Linked DNA regions of Oryzias latipes. The protein of the gene in region 2 interacts with the protein of the main gene of each other region in a biochemical or structural test. Links are inferred from orthologs where the notes say so. Each region holds a gene or a part of one and is shown on either strand. Other genes may lie near its edges.

Evidence for each region. The genes of interacting proteins can lie anywhere in the genome.
Region 1: the proteins of ubr5 (region 2) and paip2 form a complex in vitro, tested with the Homo sapiens proteins (2 studies listed by BioGRID and IntAct, with this or other methods). The link is inferred for Oryzias latipes from reciprocal best matches to the Homo sapiens genes UBR5 and PAIP2.
Region 3: the proteins of ubr5 (region 2) and otud5 form a complex in vitro, tested with the Homo sapiens proteins (2 studies listed by BioGRID, with this or other methods). The link is inferred for Oryzias latipes from reciprocal best matches to the Homo sapiens genes UBR5 and OTUD5.

The regions. Positions count from the first base shown.
Region 1 is NC_019868.2:3,409,873-3,413,987, forward strand, and holds the start of paip2 (polyadenylate-binding protein-interacting protein 2), read right to left. Parts: upstream 2,899-4,115; 5' UTR 2,785-2,898; intron 2,589-2,784; 5' UTR 2,565-2,588; coding exon 2,424-2,564; intron 877-2,423; coding exon 682-876; intron 593-681; coding exon 527-592; 3' UTR 1-526. UniProt on the Homo sapiens protein: Acts as a repressor in the regulation of translation initiation of poly(A)-containing mRNAs. Its inhibitory activity on translation is mediated via its action on PABPC1.
Region 2 is NC_019874.2:6,543,330-6,546,965, forward strand, and holds part of ubr5 (E3 ubiquitin-protein ligase UBR5), read right to left. Parts: coding exon 3,506-3,636; intron 3,415-3,505; coding exon 3,217-3,414; intron 3,142-3,216; coding exon 2,931-3,141; intron 2,714-2,930; coding exon 2,587-2,713; intron 2,481-2,586; coding exon 2,329-2,480; intron 2,252-2,328; coding exon 2,156-2,251; intron 2,035-2,155; coding exon 1,911-2,034; intron 1,548-1,910; coding exon 1,450-1,547; intron 787-1,449; coding exon 629-786; intron 522-628; coding exon 430-521; intron 316-429; coding exon 169-315; intron 33-168; coding exon 1-32. UniProt on the Homo sapiens protein: E3 ubiquitin-protein ligase involved in different protein quality control pathways in the cytoplasm and nucleus. Mainly acts as a ubiquitin chain elongator that extends pre-ubiquitinated substrates.
Region 3 is NC_019865.2:31,789,663-31,793,953, reverse strand, and holds the start of otud5 (OTU domain-containing protein 5), read right to left. Parts: upstream 2,899-4,291; coding exon 2,311-2,898; intron 1-2,310. UniProt on the Homo sapiens protein: Deubiquitinating enzyme that functions as a negative regulator of the innate immune system. Has peptidase activity towards 'Lys-48'- and 'Lys-63'-linked polyubiquitin chains. Can also cleave 'Lys-11'-linked ubiquitin chains (in vitro).

The DNA.
Region 1 (4,115 bases), on a different chromosome or scaffold from region 2:
TTTACAACTTTTTCTTTGTTATTTCACTTTTTATACAGTACTTTCTGTGCGTTTAGAAAAAACAACGATAATACATGAGGCAGCGAGCGATAGCAAGCAAAAGCCGAACACAAAGGATGCTGGGAAAACAGCCAAAAAACTCATAATAAGTGACACGCCCAAACTGCTAGTTAAGCTGGACTAAACCGGATCAGAATCCAAAGTGGCGTGTCAAAGTGAAAGTGGAGCAGAAAGTGCTCGGAGGGTGGGGCAGCACCTACAGGAGATCTGACAGAACGCAGCCGGAGTTCTGGTTCCCCAGAGAAAAGTGACGCTCCTCTCAGCTGATTTACATTCAGAGCACAAACAAGTGGGAGGGGGGAAACAGGTGGGCGGGAACAACGTAGTGAACTTGAACACGTGCGAGTCGAGCGCTGAACTTTGGCAACACATCAGCTAAAGGTTCGAGTGACGGCTTGAAAAAAACAGCAGACATCTACGTGACATCCCAGTGCGGACTAAGGGGAGGAGGCGGAGCCCCGCTGGGTCACATGGCATGCTTCTGGATGCCCGGGGTGAACTCCTTGGCGTTGGGGTTTAGAATGCTGCTTTTCTGACGAGGGAGCACAGAACAGCTTTAGGCTTAGGAGGCGGGAATCAAAGGTCAAACAGATGTTCTGGTTCCTGATGGGCTGAACTCACCACTGAGTCCAGGATGTCGGCGTTGGGGTGGACGTCCACGTCGAGGACAAGCAGGCCGATCTGCTCCTGCAGCTGGCTAACGCTGGTGGCGGGAAGGTCTCTGGACGGGATGAACCACTCCCACTGCTCCTCCTCCTCCAGCATCTCCTGGAAGCAGCACTCGATGAACTCCTCCTCCCACAGCTCCTCCTCCACCTGCACACAGGTGCAGAAAAACACAGCTTATCCACTCGTCTCTGAAAGTCCACGGTGTCACTCGTGTCCGGAGGTGGAAAGTCCCAATGCGTTTTTTTGGCACGTGTTTTTATCCCGAGTGTCTGCCGATACCAAGTCCTGGTCCAAGACTTCTGTTACACATGAAGAAATGAAGACAGATCCAGGTTTTCCCCGGTCGGTGACTGTGGCTTTAGGATCTTCAGAACTATTTTTGATCAGAAGTGACTGAAATCCACATAAAAAAAGAAGGACAATAAATGAAGTACTTTTTCCCAAACTGTTGTTGAAGCATAAATATTATGATGAGTTTTTATGAATAACTCCTATCAATGCAGCCATTTATTAGTTCTGGCTGTTTTTGAGAGATTATGGAATACTTTTTATTGAAATCACTTTGTAAACCTTCTGCCCGTCTGCCGCACAGAGAAAGACATTCTCATCTGAAATGCATGTGAAGGTCATTGTGTGCAGAATGCAAGAGACACCTGCCGTCATTTTAAAACCTTTACTAAAGGCGTCATTGAGCCCGGAAGTCCACATCTGTGCTAACTTTACCAAACTGTTCTTGGGCGCCTCCTGCTCAAACCACTGCCGTATTCTGCTGCGATAGAATCCCATGATCTGTTCATGATATGCAGACTTCTGGTGTAGAGTATTTACCTGCATGAATAGACTTCAAATAGATAACGTTGGTTCTATGACAAGAATGCTTCATAATAAGAATAAAATAAATATCTCACCCCGGTCGGGATACAACATGCGATTCTGAAACTGCGTGATTGGATTGGGAATTCCCTAAACAGAACTGTGTTTTGTCTCCCGGTCATGTGACTTGGGTGTTTTACCAAAACGAAAAGCATCACATTGTCTCCATCTTTGATGACTGAGTTGTGCAAACAGCCCTCCAGCTCCCATGAAGGTGAAGCTGCTCAGATCAGGCCTCAGGTTGAGTCTACAGGTCCGGACTTTAAACCCAGAGGACAGGTGATGCAGAAGGTCCTGTTCCTCCACAGAGGTTTACCAGTATTGTTCTGCGTTTTCTTTAGTGTTATTTACCCGAGAGTTGTTCATTAAAGACGTTTACCTCCAAGATTCCTCTAGTTCACTCACACTAAACAAATGAAAATACATGAATCTTGTTCAATCTCAACAGAAATAGATCCAGTTCATCTAGTTTCTTACTTCAGAAAAGTCTATGATGGCTTTAGAACACTCTAATTGCTGTGTGTTGTTGTGTATTTGAGTCTATATTAACAGAAATATCTATCAGAAATGGTTTGACTCAGACAGTAGTGGGTTGTTCCACAGAGATGGCAGAGACATAAGGGGTCCCCAACCCAGCAGAGTTAAGGACCCCTGCTTTAACCAGCCCAATGGACTGACCCATTAACCCCTTCTGCCCAACAGGTGGTATGGTGGAGCAAATGAAGCTTCAAACGCTTCACGAGGCTTCATTTTACCCATTTCTAAGCTCCTCAGGATGAGACGTGTAGGCCACATCAGGATCACGCCCCCCTGCACCTCACCTGCCGATTAAACTCCTCCTCGTGCTCCATCCACAGGTACTCCGCGAAAGGCTCCTCATCGGGGCTGAACTGGCTGCTCAGTATGACGTCACTGCCCGAGGTCAGGCTGTGGGTCGTGGTGCCGAAGCTCGGGTCCTTCATGTCTACAGGTCCGGGGGTGGGGGTCTGTGGAAGGTGGAGACCGTTAAGCTGCGTGCAGCAGACACTTATGACGTGATCATGGCCAGCACCGCCTCGAAAACTAAAAAAAACACGACGATTACCGCGATACCACGCGGCTCCACGGTCTCACAGGAGCGTGGACAAATTCACGGAAAGGCGGCAGAGATGCGGCCGACGACGTTTTGAGGAGTTAAATTACCTGCGCAGGTTATTTGATCGACGGCAGAAAACAGAGGCTCGATCTGTAATGGCCGCGCGGCCCTTGTTTGTTTACATGACACGCGTCACTCTGCACTAATTTCTGATTGGTTGAGCTCCGTGCTGCGTTCTGGGTCCGCACGTTGACGGAAGAAAATGTAAACAACAGAGGCAGAGCTTCTGCAGCTTCAGGTTTACGATCTGTTTACAGCAGCCAAGCTGTGAGTTTACATTCTCCCGCGAGAACCACGAGGACCAGTAAACAACAGCTTTTAACCAACACGAACCACACTAAAATATAACGGTAAAAATTAAGTGTAACTAAGAAAAAACGAAAAATAAGTCTAAAGAATTGGCAGAAACACATCTGTTATAAAGTGTTTCCATTATAAGTATAAATTGTAGAATTGTATTATTACAAATATTATCTTAAAGATTTAAGTCCTTCGCATATTTTTCTTAAACATTTTAAACAAAGGCAGATGAGACTGCTGATTTAAGAAATGAGGCTTTGGGAGATTCTGGTGCTGTCTAAAGAAATAACACAGTTGTGGATAAAATGTCACTATGGGGCATTTAGAATAGTACTGAGAGTGCTTCATACTGAAACTACTTCACACGGTGTAGAAATGCTTTCACTGGGTTGGAAGGGCTAATTCCAGAGCTTACCTGAATGCATCATTGAAGTCATGATAGTGCATTTCCGGTGGAAATTTACCGGATTCTGTATCAATGTGGAATATAATTCCACATTTTATATGTTCAGATTTAGGCGGTCACAAACAGGATCTTTTCGCATGGACACTTTTATACAAACACAATTTCTCTCCCCATAAATGTTTTATTTGGAACAACAAATATATATTACACAAGAACAAATCTTTATTAAAGTATACTAAATTCAATTCTAAATACAATCTGGTTGTGACTCCTAAAGAATATGCCATCGTGTTTGATGCTGTTTCCAAAGAAATATGTCAAATGTTTAAAACAGCTGTTAGGAATGAAGAAATGCCCTCTATGGATGCAACTGACACCACCACAGGAAAAATCTGTTTTACTATACACACAAGAACAACAACAACAACAAAATACGTGCCTGGGATGTCATTTCTGTACCAAAAACTACTGCAGCTGGTTTGTTCCTGACAGCATTTGGAGGAAAGGCTGGAGTTTGACCCAAAAAGTTATGATAAATAATAAAATAATTCACAAAATTTACCCCACCAATCAACTCATGCTAAGATACATCAAAACAATTGACCCTAACTGTACTTTTTGCAAAACACAACGAGAAACAATTAACTATCTTTTTTGGAACTGTGCTAAAAT
Region 2 (3,636 bases):
TCTGGACCAGGAACAGTAATATATGCTCCCCCCTGGAGGAGGAAACCAGTCGGACTGATGATCCATGCTTTACATGCTTAAGTTAAGAAACGCTCACTGGAAATGACAAGCCCCGAATAAAGCCGATGCTTTCATGCTGAAATGAATTTGGAAGTGAAGAAGTCTCACCTGCTGTTTGGAGTTGTGACCAGGTTCGTCGTCGTGAGCAACCTGTACAGCAAATCCAAGCGAGCGGCCTTCTGTCCAGCAATTAGTGTTTTACATTTACATTTCTCCCAACAGTCACAGTAGGCTGTAGGTGAGGTCCTTTTCAACCTTACGAGAAGGTAAATAAAATATTTAGGACAAAACAATTTATAGCCTGCTGATGGAGACTAAAGGCAGCTATAAATAAGACAGAACAGGGGCAACGACAAATCTAGGACTCACTTGCAGTCATGTCCTTTGTGGCACACTCTTGCACACTCCGTGCAGCAGCAGAGGGACTCCAGCAGGCCACACGTTCGACACTCAAATATGTCCTGAATACAAAATCGGGGTCAAGGAAAATGTCAGTGGGTCAGTTTCAGTGGAAAACGGCACAAATTAAAAATGCAAGACTTTGTGGAGCTAAAAGACGAGGAGCGACCTGGTTAATGTGCTCGGCTCCAGTCCAAGTGAAACTGCAGGTGTCGTTGCAGCAGAGAACGTACAGTGGAGAATCATCTGGGTTGGTACCCGATGGGCAGATCATTTCCATGAACACAGAATCGGCCCCGTCCTTATCTCCAATGGCCGGGTCACCCACTGTGACGTGTGGAGGAGAGAGTCAAACAAGGCGGAAACACCAGACCGATGATGAAGAAAAACCAACGTCCTTTACATCAGTGGTCCCCAACCTCCAGGCCGAAAAGAAAAAGTTCCTTTTTTGGATGATGGAGGACTTGTGTAAAGAAAAATAAGCTCAAAAGTACATTTCTGAGTATTTCTCTATTCAAATCATTGATAAATCAGTAACAGAAAAAAAAAAGTTCATTTGTGACGTAGAAAATATGCTGGGCAGGCCTTAAGATCCCCGCTCCACTCCGCCTTTTTTAGTATTTATCCGTCACACCTGACAAGTTGGCCGAGGCTGAAGGCTGCTCTGTCTGATTTCAATGGTTCCTGCATTAAATCTAGTGAACAAATCAAGCTTAAAGCAGATGTTGACAATTTACAGAGGATCAACTTTACCCTCAAAAGTAAATGGAAACAAGGAAGTTTAAAAAAAAAAACATAGTTCCCACTTCTGCGTCGTTCAGACCGGTCCGGGAAAATATCGTCCGACATTAAACCGATTCGTGGCCTGAAAAAGGTTGGAGACCACTGAGCTAGCTGCTAGAAACAGGGCAGAAAAGTGCATCACAAACATCCACTGGTATGCATACTGCATACCAGTGGATGTTCACAGGTTCACAGCCATGAGCTCACCTTTGGCTATTTTCTGTGCCGCCTCCAGCACCGTGATAGCTGCAGGATAGGCTCTCCCGCTAACAGCCAACATGAACGGAGTCATTCCTCTGGCATCCCTGTCAAACGGTAGAAAAAGCACATCAGAGGCACTGCTAGCTGGCTGTGAGCTGGGCTGCTGCCTGAGCTCCACTGAGGAGGTGGCAGACAGTAGGGTGTTAGCCAAGCTAACCCTGATAAGAGATAACACACACACACCACACCATGGAGACCCAGAGAGGCTCCTTCAGCCAAACATTCATTTCTCCCCTTAGACTGTACAACACTTCACAGGAATAAACTCACCACTCCACAGTGTTTTGCACATTTTTTTTTATCATTCTATGCTTTTTTTTTCACTAAATCCCCAATCTTATTCACTGCTCTCCTTCTTTTCCTGTAACTTCCCATCTTTCTGTTTCTAATGAAGAACAGAACTGTACTTTGCAGAGAGCAGCTCCTGCAGATGTGGCCTCAGAACAACACTGTCGCACATCAGCTTCAGGATGAGGTGGGCATTGGCCTTCCTGTCTTTGGACTCCACCACAGACTGCTCAGTTGATGGTCCTGGACAGACAACAAAAGCAGTTCAAAACCCAAACGGCAAAAACATGCAGCTTTTTTCATAAGGAATGAAATGAAGTTTTCAGTTTTCTTTGACTACTTTCTAGCTAGAAACATCCCGTACCTGCTATGGTGGAGGTGCTGGGCCCCTGGCTGGTTCCAGTGGAGGCCGTGGTGAGTGAGCCAACAGCAGGAGCCAGAATGAAGTCAATGTCACCGTCTGTTGAACAGAAAACAGGACGGTCGTTACCAAAACCGTCACCGTGATCTGAAACTATCAAGGTAAAACCCACACACCGGGGTCCATGGGTGGAGGGTCAGGGACCCAGCTTGGTGGAGCAATGGGTGGGGAGACAGGGTCCTGATGGTCACTGGATGACGGACCAGACTCATGGCGGCCGAGACCTGCCGCCCTCAGAGACCGCCGCATCATCTCCCTCAGTCGAAGCCTGTTTTCAAAATGACGCCTCTTTTTAGTTTTCTTCTATGAATCAAGCTGATGCACAGAAATACATCTTCCATCTTCACTCGACAGCACACGACTTGTTTACGTACCCTCTGCTGCTGGAGGAACCCGTCCTGTTTCCAGAGCTATTGCTCGAGACCACAGAGATGGCGTTGGCGATGGCTTCTACAGCAGACAGACGCTCCGCAAAAGTGTTTCTTTCAGACCTTTCAGCTTCTGAAAAACAATTTGATGACTCAGAACTCCAGTTGAACGAGAAAAGGAAACAACTGCATCACATCTTCTGCAGTAGATTCACCTCTTAAGACCCGGAATCCTGATTGACATGCCTTTGTTTTAATTTCTCTTTGAAAGAGCCCCAGTTGAGCAGAGTTAACTACTGTGGTAATATAACCCCAAATGGTCTGAAGAGGTTCAACATTCAAGTATTTACCTTCCTCTTCTTTGGTCTCCTTGTTACTAACAGGGAAACAGACAGAGACAGCAGCATGGAGGATGTTACGGTTCCCATCACAGCGGTGGCCCAGAAGTGCCTCCAGGGCTTGGCCCCCCTGATCCAAGAGGACGGCCTGCTCAAGGTTGACCAAGTACTGCCGACAAGCTTCGTAGTCGCACCGCAGCACATGCTGCATCAGGGTCTGCTTCTGAAAAGATTAAACCAGCAATCACAATTACAAACTCGTTCTTCGTCACAGAAAAGACTGAATCTGGTCTTTTACCTCAACTGCCATGATAATAACAGCAGCCTTTTTCTTTATGGTGGAGTTAGATGGCAGATTGGCCAAGGAGTGAACCCCCATTCCCAGACAGCTAATGGGAGGGAGGTCCAACCAGTCAGGATCTCGAATTCCACCCATGCAATCTTTAGCCATGGGATAAATCGTGCCATTTCCGTCCCGAAGAACAATGGGAGACTCCTAAGAAGAAAATGAAGCAAACATTTACGCTAACTCGCACCGCTTTTAGGTAAACATCGTGTTTGACTGTTAGAAATGAAGAACTGTTAACCTGTCCTGCAGTGGAGATGGCCACATTGCGCTCACTTTGTCCCAGGAAGGCGAGATTGCTGGTGGGAAAGTTATTCTCCTGCTCTGCTTTGCCTGTAGCCAGGTCAAAGATGCAGTACCTCACCCAGTTAC
Region 3 (4,291 bases), on a different chromosome or scaffold from region 2:
GATCTATAGATCAGTGATGAAAGTCAGGCAAGGAAAAAATCCCTGAACTTTTCTTTGAGCGATATGGCGGGCACAGAGCGAAATTTTGGAAAAATACGTGGTCTTAGATGCATTCTGGTGCATTCTGGCAACTAGTTATTCACTTCTTTATCAAGAAACTAAGACTAATTGGAGCATCATGATTTGTCATTCAAACCCCTAGTTTGACTCTCCATTAAGGACTTGCTGGTCCTAAAAAAGAATTTGGAAAATTGCTCAAAGTAACACAATCCTACAATCTACGCTTTTCCTTAAAGCTGCAAAACATACAATTGCTAAAATATAGTAACATCAAAGCCCCAAATGGCAAAAATAACACCAGTAACTATTATATTCTATGAAAATACCTCAGTTATTTATACATTATTTCTGCTTTAGAAATGACTGATGTACAACATCCACTTGCACTGTTTTCTCAAACTATAACTACATCAAAATATGGGATCTGCTTTAAACTATAATTCTATAACATAATACATCAATTCTTTAACACCAATACTAAGTAATCTGGGAAATATCAAAACAAACATACAAACTAAACATTGTAAACATTATTTTTTAAGGGAGTGCGGGTCCAAACCATCAAATACTTATAATTAATGTTAACTATACTGAACTAAATCATGGTAATTAGGAAATACAAATAAATTAGATAAAGAAATGTATTCAAAATAAAAACTGAAACTCAAAACTAAAATTGAAATTATTTCAAAATGTGGTTTTGAGATTATTTTACACAAAAAAGTATTTGACCTACACTACCTTAAAAATCTTTTTTTTCCAGCCAAGACCACTTCAATTTGTTTTTTATCGTCTTCTCACAACTGAGGTCGTGACCACGCTCAATAATGACGATGCCTGCCATTATTTTAACAGAAATTTGATCGCAAACTCTTCAGATGTGTTTGTGAAAATTTAGCGTGGGTCCGCCAGTTTTGGTCTCTAGGGAAGCGAGTCACGCTGACCACGTGGTGCAGACAGAGCCAATCAGACCCGTCGACGCATCCGAAAGCAACTAAAACGTCCCGTCATTGGTCAATTAGGCCGGGAAGACGAAAGATGGCCACGACCATAGAGGAAGCGATCTGCGGAGAAATATAGAAAATAAAGCTAAAATTAGCTGATTTCAGACCATTTTCTAATCCGGAAAGCGATTTGTCCGTAGAGATCAGGTCTTTATTTCCCGGAAAGTACGTTCGGTTTGCTCAAAAACCCGGATTTCCGGGAATTCCCGGAAGACTTTCATCACTGATAGATGAAGGGTTTGTTTTTTTAACGTGATAGTTTTAACTTTAATTTAATTTAAATTTCATTTTGAGTATAAAAAATAGAACTGTAATAACATAGCCACATTTGTTTCATCTTTTTATATTTTTCTTGCATACTTTCTGCACTTTTTTGTTTTGTCCTGATAGTTTCTGAGATTGTGGTTGATGTTTATACTTTAGTTGGTAATCTGTTCAGCTGCTGTTAAAGGGAAGACTCAATTGGAGCAGCAGGCTGACACTTAAGAGTTATTGTTTTAATAAATGACTTTTTTTTAGAGAAACTAGGATGTCTTGAGATGTTTTTTCCATAGTCAAAAGGAGGAGAGGCTGCCATAAGAGTGGTTAGCACAGGGAACACTGAAAATAGATCTAAAGATGATGGGAGAGGGATTTTAACGTTATACGGCCACTGAGCTGCTTGGTTCTGATCCTCTGAGCCTCAGGACCAACACTTAAAACTTCCGTTCGGTGCTGGTTGAGATTCAGGAAGTTCCCTGCCATCCATCAGTGGGTTCCACTAGATCAGGAGACCCAGCAGCATAATGCTGCCTGTGGTCTGATGGCAGCATATAGAGATGGAGGTGAGACCCAGGTCAGAGCCCTGAGGCGCCCCACATATCAACCTGTGCCTTTGGGGTGAATAAAGACATTAAGGTTTTTATCCTTTATCCCAACAAACGTATCCATTTATGAGTTGAGGAGCAAGTTTGAATCAAGAGCACAGCTGTGTGGCAGCTGCTCTCAGAAACATCTGCCAATCAAACACCTGGTTAATGATCCCCTTCCAACCGCAGGTTGATGGAGGTGGAACGCGTTGCTATGGTAACTTGATGCCCCTGTAAAGTGTTGATACTTTAGCCTGAACAATGTGATATTTGCACGGTGGTGATGTGAACAACCCTGTTCCCTTCTAACACAATAAACGCTTTTCCAGACCTGAGCGCTTCCAGAATTCCCGCTGGAGCCGCGTTAGCATCCCGTTAGCATCGCTGCTAGCTCCTACCTGCTCCACGGTGGCCGGGTCCAGGGACTGCAGCCGCGCCGCGTTCTCATACTCGTCCTCGCTGTTGTTTCCAGCTCCGTCCTCTGTGTCCTGGCTAGACCCAACGCTTCCTGGTCCGGTCACCCCGGGCTGGCCTCCCCCAGCCAGAGCCGCTACCACTCCGCCGGAGCAGGTGCCTGCCTGCCGCCGCCGCTTGCTGAGCCCAGGCCCGGAGCAGCAGCTCCCCATTCCTCCACCGCAACCGACGACGCCAGCTGACACGACGAGCTCACCACGGGAGCCGGCCACCATTCCGCCGCTGCCGTCCCGGCCATCGCCCGGCCCTACAGGAGAAACAGAACCGACGGGCGGCGGAGAGGCCTGCTGCGGCCGGGAGCTCGCTTCGATGCTCCGCCTGTCGTCCCTAGAGGACTGCGGAGCGCCCTGGTATGACCACGGCGGAGGTGAAGCCCTGGGTCGGGCGCCGGTTCGCCCCGCGTGCGAGTGCGGATGTTGATGAGGGTCGGAGCCGCTTCGCCGGTCGCTGTCATCGGCGTGGTCCGGGACGCCAACCCCGGAGCTGGGCTTCTTCTTCGGTAGAATTGTCATGGTGGAGTGAGCGTGAAGGCAGCAGGGAGGGGGTCAGAGCTGCGAGTCCTCCCGTTTTCAGTTCAAAGTGTCGGCCTGCTCGCCCTCTGAACCGGCCGTTAGGCTGCAGTCTGTCAGCTAAGAGCCTTAGCGAACCGAAACGAGCCAAAGAAGCGGCCGCTGGGCTTTATTCGACGGCGAGTTCAACAAAAACAAATCGTGTCTCTTCCCGTTCTCCAAAACATCAACACAGCCTGACGGCGCCGCGACGTCACTTCCTGGTTGCGAGGGCACTTTCGACGTCACGTGGTCATAAAACCCCGTTTACACGGAGAGAACAAATTCATCTAGATATTATCTTTCACATCAAAACATAAATTCTCATTAGTATCAGATATGTACCCTCACTTAAACATTGTTGTCTCATAACCTTTTAATTTTACCTAAAATTGTAGGGTAATTTGTTCTTTTAATGGGTTGAAAGTTATAGTTTTCACTTTAATTTAGTAAAAAAAATAGAACTGTTATGTCATAGCTACATTTTTTTCATATTTTCTTGCATAGTTTCTGCACTTTTTTGTTTTTTCCAGATAGTTTCTGAGATTGTGGTTGATTTTTATACTTTTAGATAGAACTCCGTTCCCATCAGCTGCTGTTAAAGGGAATATTTAATTGGAGCAGCAGACCGACACTTATGAGTTATTGTTGTAATTATCACTTTTCTTAAGAGAAACTTGGATGTCTTGAGATGTTTTTTTCATAGTCAAAAGGGGGAGAGGCTGCCATGTGAGCGGTCAAGGGTCAGTGGGGGGGGGGGGGGGGGGTATGTCCCCTCCCAGTGTTCAGCAGAGATGATGTAAGATGAGTCAGTCCAAGTGTGTCTTGTTTCATGGCTGCTTCATTGAGGTGGACTACTGCAGCTGTCATCACACGTCTTTGTGGTGACTGTCTCTGAACATGGAGATCAGACAGATCATTCAGCTGAAGAAGAGATCTAGACTAGAAATAGGATTCTGGAGGCAGCCAGCTTGACTGTTAGAGGCAATGAATTGTGGAGAAGGACATTAAGCAAACATGAGAACACCACGTTTGCTGCACGGTGGCACAGCCCCCAGTGGTAAGTGCCCTCTGGGGGAACCAAAACACCAAAGGGGGACCTTTCTGTGTGGAGTTTGCATGTTCTCCCCGTGCATGCGTGGGTTTTCTCCGGGGACTCCGACTTCCTCCCACCGTCCTAAAACGTGCTTCATAGGTTCATTGGTCACTCTAAATTGTCCCTAGGTCTGAATGTGAGAGTGTGTGGGTGTGTGATTGTGGACACTCTACCCTGCAACAGACTGGCGACCTGTCCAGGGTGCCCCTTGCCTTCACCCACAATTAGCCGGGATACGCTCCAGCAGCCCCGTGACCCCGA